Linked DNA regions of Nothobranchius furzeri. The protein of the gene in region 2 interacts with the protein of the main gene of each other region in a pairwise test. Links are inferred from orthologs where the notes say so. Each region holds a gene or a part of one and is shown on either strand. Other genes may lie near its edges.

Region 1 (3,822 bases), on a different chromosome or scaffold from region 2:
GCCCTTACATACATGCACACACACATATATACATACATATATATATATGTGCGTGTGTGTGTGTGAGTGTGTGTACACACACGCACACACACTATATATTGCTTTATATTGGTCATCAGAAAAAAAAATTATGCAACTAACAATGATCAGTATTAAAAACCCAAATCAAAAATTCTAAAATAAAAACTGAATAATTACCTCAAATTAACTGTTAAGACTAAATACTAACTGAACAGATTCAAAAGCTCTAAAGTAAAGTGTGTTTATGTGGGTTGTTGTGGTTAGCCTGACTAGTTCTTTACTCAGATACCAACAGGTACGGTGAGTTTAGCAGGAGTTTGAGTCATGCTTTAGCCACGAGCAAACAGGTACGCCAGCATGCTCCGACAGGTAGCACAGCAAAACAGATTTGGAGATACTGATGAAAGTTATCATCTTATTGCATCAAACTCAATGGTCTTGACCTACATAAACATGTATGTGTGCATGCATGTAAGCCTTTAGCTGCTGCCTCAACTAAAACTATTTCTACTCTTAACTCGTGCTCTCTGAAAAGCGTCAGAATGCAACAGAATAATAGATTATCAGATACAAATCTCCCACCAAACGTGACTCACAAAGATGAACACTATGATCCTAATTAATATAGATTTATTGTTCTATTACCTTTACATCTACACAAATTCTTACTGGCCAATTTAAACGAAGAAGAGTACAAACACCAAATGTGCTGCCATTTTAAAATGTACCTAGACACAATATAGTCAACATAATCTAGCATTAATTAAACCTTAATGAGATAACAGCAGGTTCTATTTTGATTTTATATCACATCCTTTTTATGCATCATGTGCATGACAAGAACCATTTTATTGCATGTGGGCAAAACAAACAACAAAATAGAACCAAAGGGGTTTTGAAGTGATTTTTTCTTTGATGGTTCCTGAGTTAAGTGACCTGGAAGTATCCGATGGCAGCCCCGTTAAGAGTAGATTAACCTTTTCAAATGCTTTGCAAAGGAGCTTCAATGCTTGCTTTCAGTGCGTCCTTCAGCACAGGAAAAACTCAGTCTTCATCTTTAAAAGATTAGGAAGTTGATTTGTCATGGCAGACCAACATTTTAGATTATTTGATTTTTAAACAGATGTACATGTTATTCAATTAAAAACCTGTGGGTAAGATGGCAAACACCGATATTAACACAACTTTTCATAGTTCACGGTGTGGGGGACATAAGAATGACTTTTTGAGTTTTCTACCCAACTCTGGAACACGACGAGCAGCAAGGTGCTACGCAGAACAAAAGCAAAGTTCTGATATGATCAACTTTTACTGTTTTTAGTTGAGGAAAACGCGTGTTGACAGTAAACAGAAGGGCTGAAAACAGTGTCAGCAGCCATGATTCTTTTAGAGCTCAGCCACTTGTAAATTAAAACCGCAGAGAAGTTTTAACTGAAATCTTGATGTCTCAAACTCATTAAACAAATGGAGAACAATTCAAATACTTTATGTGCAGTTTGACATAGCATGAAATCACTTAAATAATATTAAATAAAAAATACTAAAGGACTATTTTCTGCTAATTGCTGTAAGCATCTTTTTTTTTTTTTTTTTTTACTTTACAGGTTTATTTTCTTTGTAATAACCTGACTGAACTCAGTACTCTTCAGCACCCTTCCTACGTCTTTTAGGGCTCCAACTCCACTTTGTCTGATTGCTGTTTATTATTTGGACAAGTCTTTAGTTTGAGGAGGGGGCCAGCTAACCAAACAAACATGTTTTGTTGGCACTCACTTCAAGATTGGGTCTGATGATCAGATGACCATTGTTCCTTCTTCTGACATAACCCCACTCTGAAAAACTCCTTTAGCAATGCTCGAAATCTTATGAAATGAGTAATATAAGTAGATAAACTGAATCTAAATTCTTGATTACTTTGTGCTGATAACTGCTTTTAAAGCTTACTCAAGGTGGTTATTTAAACCAACTATGCCTTCCTTTTGAAGATTTGTCTTAATCCAGCTGAGACTGAGCAGCCATTTAACAGTCTTGCTATTTTGCAACGTTTCTATGTCTGTGTTTGCATTATCAAACACAGAGCAGGACACACACCTAAGACAAATTGACATTTAGGCTTTGGTGGAGCACAAAGCTAATCTAACTTGGTGGTAATCAGAAAATAAAATACAGTACTACAAAGTTGCATTCAGTACTGTGGTAATGTCTACACAGTCAGTCAGCATCAAACTATTTTAATTACATACAAGTAGAGATCTACTCTGTCATTTCCAAAAGGCACCTATACAGCAACAACTGGGTCAACCCAGTTAACCCACCATTAGTAAGTGCTTTCGGTACCTTTGACGCGGGTTTGAGGTCTGGAGGAGCTCAATCTTGAATGAACTTTAATCACTGGGTCTACTGGATCTTCTTCGATGGTCTGTCCCATGGTGAGCAGACCCAGTCTTTTCATGCGAAGGAGTCGTGGACCCGACTCTTTGGGTAAGATTACCCCATGTTCAACAGGTGCCTCCCCTGAGATCACGGCTGGAACCAGGCTCTTAAGAAAATCCATTTTAGCGGAACTTTTAAAGATCTCTCACTCTGGTGAGAAGTAAGAACACCTGTGCCGCACCATGCAGCCACACAAACGACCCGTCTGCTCGATCTGCCCCATTTACAGAGAAGCAGGCAAAAGAGTCCAGTGCCTGTGTCGAGTGTTTACTGGCATGCAGCGGAGCTACAATTACACTGCATCGGGGCATATATCTGCAGGCCCATACTCACTAAAACACACACACGGTCTCTAAAGTTTCTCAAAGAGGTGAAACTCACGAGGCAACATGACACCTCCTTCAATGCAGCATTACCTGCCCGTTCAGGGTAAAGAGAAAGCAAAAATGCAAGGCTCTTTCCACAGGTTGTGATGTAACTGAGAGTGGGCCGGGCTAAGTGTAATGCCAGGCCCTATCTGGGGTGGGACAACAGCATGTTTGACAGGAGATAACACAACCCAGGCTACCAGCCAATCATAACAGCAATGAGGGTGGCCACACCTTTCTGGCCTGTGTTGTTAAGTCAGAGACCAAGAAAGGAACAGGAAGACTGACAGACACCAGAAGTAGGAAATCTTCGTGGAGCTGACTTGACTTGTCTGCCTGCATTTACTGATAATACTTATCAAAGTTAAAATATTGTCACTTGTTTGTATTTCCACATAAACAAAAGTTTCCTGTTTGTTTTCTTGCTGCATTTGTTAAATATCGAGAGCACCCTTTGCCTGGCTTTCACTTCTGCTTGACTTTGCAGAGCTATTAATAAAAACAAATAATAGCAGAATGGTAAAAGTGATGGTGTCTGGGAAACGGAGCTGTGCGCTCTGCTTAGCTGCACAGCTTGTACCTGCAGCAAATTCAAACCCTTGCAAGAATCACCTTCTAGCAGACTCAGATGGAGTACACTGTCCTGATGCTTTTGGAAAGCTCACCGCCTAAAGAAATCTTCAATTTGATGTTTACTGATGCAAGTTCCAAAAATTAATAAGCCATTCAAGAACAAACAGTTCTCAACAACAATGAAATACTAAGATATTTCAACAATGAAACTCTCGTGTTTAACCTATCATCAGTGTTTCTTGTCCTCTCCATGTCATCTCTTTTTGTGATTGAAAAGGACATCTGGTGCCAAAGAACCAAACTAAAGAAACAAATAACATGCTTGACACCACAGGTTGACTACATGGTTTAAACATACCTGGTCAAAGAACTGAATTATGGAATTACATGTTTACACTAGGGCTGGGGGTAAACGATTATTTTTAAA
Region 2 (3,600 bases):
CAGAAGCACACCAGCACATCTGCATGTCAGCACCCCACTGAGAAGACAGATGTGCAACATCTCGCCACTTGTGACAAGCTTCAGCCACAGAAATGGGGAAGTGAAAATCTGCTGCGTCTATTTGAAAACAAGAGCATTCAGTTGACAGGAAACTCTAATTTCATGTGTGAAATTCCAGGACTGATTATCGGCACCGAGCTTCACTTCCCGTGTGGTCACATGAGGGTCGTGCCGCAGTGGAACTGTATTTATGTATTATGCTTGTACCGCTTCAAAGTCATTCAATTTACACCTAAAGCTGAACAGAAAGGAGTCACATAAACACGAACAGGTCCATCTTCAGAATCCTGGGCTTTTTTCTTTTGTGTTTTCACCTCATAAACATAAAAATATCCTATTTTGTCTAACAAATTGAACAAAAAATACATCAAAAGAAATGTTTAATCTAGGAAATAGATTTTAAAAAAATTATTAAGATAATTATTCTGAATAAGGATGACCAGTCCAGGCTGAGAAGGAATTACTTTTCAAATGTAGGAAACCAGAGTGAGAATGCAGAATTAAATGCAGAATCCACTAAAAACGATAATACTTTCATTAATGCGTTCATTAGTGGGTTGTACCCGTTAAAAGTTAGAAAACAAAAGGCAACTGAATTTTACAAGCTCATCATAGTTTCACTAACACAACCTATCAAATTGCCTCATTAGGTGAATTCATCTCTGTTGTTTTTTGTATTTTGATCATTTTTCATTTCAATCATTCTGAACATAAATATTATGTTACTGCAACCGATTATTTCCCAGTTATCGGTTTCAATTTTCTTTCAAGATCATGTGGGAGTTATACACACACACACACACACACACACACACACACACACACACACACCCGGGGACAATTCAGAGTTGCCAACTTACTAATATTCATGTTTGTAGACTGTGGGAGGAAACCAGAGAACCTGGAGAACATACAAGTATCCTTCCTGGAGTCCAAACCCTGGAACTGATGTCTCCGCCCCAGCAGTGCTACTAATGGCATCATCATGCTGCTCCAGAAGTACAAAATACTTTTGCATAAGTTCCCGTTTGTGACATCATATGGGGTAAATAGAATAGATGTCTGTCGCTTGTGACAGCGGGAGACGGGCGTGGGGGCTGGATGCTTGGCCTGGGGGGACCAAGCAAGGCCTGGCATCCTGCCAGGCTTGAAAGGCGCTGGGGGGAACCCTGGTTTTGGTTTTGGGCTGAAATTTTACATTTTAATTAAGTTGCACTAAACTGCCTAAATAATGACTACACACGACTATTAGACACTCATCTGTACAGGTTTTCAGCAAAAACGTTGAATAGGTGTTTCTCGCTCTTTAAAGTGACAGAGCCTAGAAATGGCTCATTCTGGAAGGTACTGAAACTCTCAAGAATTAGTACAAGTTCAAGTTTTGTATCGACCATAGAACTGTTTTAACCCTCCCACTGTCCCAATGGGTGTGACCCCACGAGGAAAGTTGACCATTGAGCAGGGTTGATGGTTTATCCCTTGGGTCCATGTGGCAGGGGTGAGGAGTGAGCACCACCTTAACCGTTGTATTAAAAAAAATCTGCTTGTTTTTTAGAATTTTTTAAATTAGTAGTTGTTTGTTTTTCATTTCAGTTCTGTTCATTCTTCAACAACGCCATAGGGATTGAAACATGCTCACCAGTTAAACCCATATTTTACATTTATGACCAACAGCACAGTACAATAAAAATATTACTTTACCTGAATAAACACACACGTGCGTTTACTGGTAATAACTAAAACACTACTAGTGTCTGAATAATTCTGTTTCTGAGGAAATTGGATAACATTTTTTGCAAACAGTCTTATTGTTTATTCTGATTGGCAAAATATTTTTATCCCCCATCATCCCTGCCCCTTTAGGAACCTTTGACCTCTATGACCTCTGAGAACATTGTTTTTATTCTCTATATTCGTGATTTTCCTCCGATTACGTTTACAAAAGTTTTCTAACCTTCCTGTTTTTATCTCGCTGCACATTTTAAAAAACAGCTCTACGAGGACTCACCGCAGCAGATCCCAGATCAGTTGGTGTGAAAAGACAAGTTACACCTAAAACAAGAGCAGATTTTACCTTCTGTGACTCCGCAGTTGTGGTGCAACGACTTCCGGTGACCCTCCAGTCCCACCAGTCCAGCAAACATCTTGTTTTGGATGTTAAAAGCGGTTGTCAGTCAGAGATCCCGGTTCCGGAGGGTTACATCGACCATGTTTTTAGGAACCAAGCGAAAGGAGCTGATCTCATTTCCGTTGTGGAAAATCAACCCTGTTTTTTTGTCTTTTAACTCAGTTCTGTTCAGCAGGAGAAAGCGGCTCCTTCAGACACATCCGGACTGACAGACTCGGATCTGGACTCTGGAGCAAGGCTCGGTTACAAAAAGCCGCCAGCTTGTTTTCAGCAGCATAAATCCTTGTATCCGTTTCCTTGGCGCACAGATTGGACAAACATCCGGTTGTTAGACGGCTGAACGAGACTAATCTGTGCGCTGGCAGATTGATCACTGAACGGTAATCCAGTGTTGGATCCGTTAGTCGCTGCGCTGTGCCCGTGCGTCATGCGTCATAGAACCGCGGCGTAAAGGAGGAGAGGAGAGGAGCTATACGTGTTCAGGAATTTGACTCCAAACTCCTCCGGCCCGCCTCAGAGGACCCTCCACTAAACTAAATACTGCGCTTAATTCTGTTTTTATTCCTAACTTCAGACCAACAAACGGAAAAAAGTCAATTAAAGTGTCATTATTTTTAATCCAGTTATTAAAATGGACTCAAAAGAGTTAATTAAAGTTAGTAATTGTGTGTTAAACGGTGGTTTCACGTGACAGCAACAATTATTTCGTTGTTTAGTTTTTTCCTAAGCTCCAGATTCCACAGCTGTCTCTCCGTCCTTCTTCCCACGCTTTCAAAGGCTCCTTTCACTCCGCTCGGCTGGCGGATGAACGACTCAGTTCACATGCACACCCACAATAATCAGCAAACTGCCTCCGACTGGACCTCTGCTTCTGGTGTCCTTTTAAATCACACACATTAAAGCCAATACGGTTTTCTACGTCAGATCCAAATAACTTCTCTCATTCTGCAGCTTCTTTCTCCTTTTCGTCTACATTACTGACATTTTAATTCAAATGAATGGCTTAAAATTGGGTTATTTGTAAGACCTGAATTTGTTTTACTACTTTTTACACGGCTGCTTGTATAAATGTGAACAGCAATTGAAATCTTAATTCCGTTAGTAATGCAGTACTGCGGTATTGCCGCAGGAGGGCAGCACGTCATTGCCTAACCTCAAAGGAAACGTTACTATCGTGCGAAATAAAACGTGAATTGTTTTTATGCTATATGACTGAGTTTAATGAACTTGAACATTTGTTTGAATGCTTTTTTAAGCACACTAAACAAAATGTCCTACATGTGACTGTCACATACATTACACAGAACTAAAATGGTCAGATCTGAATCACATCTGGAAGTTGGAGACTTTAAGTACTCTAGAAGGGTAGTAATAATAATAATAATTATTATTATTATTATTAAGTCGGAATG

Evidence for each region.
Region 1: the proteins of disc1 (region 2) and fryl interact in a two-hybrid assay, tested with the Homo sapiens proteins (2 studies listed by BioGRID and IntAct). The link is inferred for Nothobranchius furzeri from reciprocal best matches to the Homo sapiens genes DISC1 and FRYL.

The regions. Positions count from the first base shown.
Region 1 is NC_091748.1:39,410,330-39,414,151, forward strand, and holds the start of fryl (protein furry homolog-like), read right to left. Parts: upstream 2,808-3,822; 5' UTR 2,576-2,807; coding exon 2,359-2,575; intron 1-2,358. UniProt on the Homo sapiens protein: Plays a key role in maintaining the integrity of polarized cell extensions during morphogenesis, regulates the actin cytoskeleton and plays a key role in patterning sensory neuron dendritic fields by promoting avoidance between homologous dendrites as well as by limiting dendritic branching.
Region 2 is NC_091752.1:2,312,077-2,315,676, reverse strand, and holds the start of disc1 (disrupted in schizophrenia 1 protein), read right to left. Parts: upstream 2,425-3,600; 5' UTR 2,205-2,424; coding exon 2,135-2,204; intron 4-2,134; exon of another isoform or gene 1-3. UniProt on the Homo sapiens protein: Involved in the regulation of multiple aspects of embryonic and adult neurogenesis. Required for neural progenitor proliferation in the ventrical/subventrical zone during embryonic brain development and in the adult dentate gyrus of the hippocampus.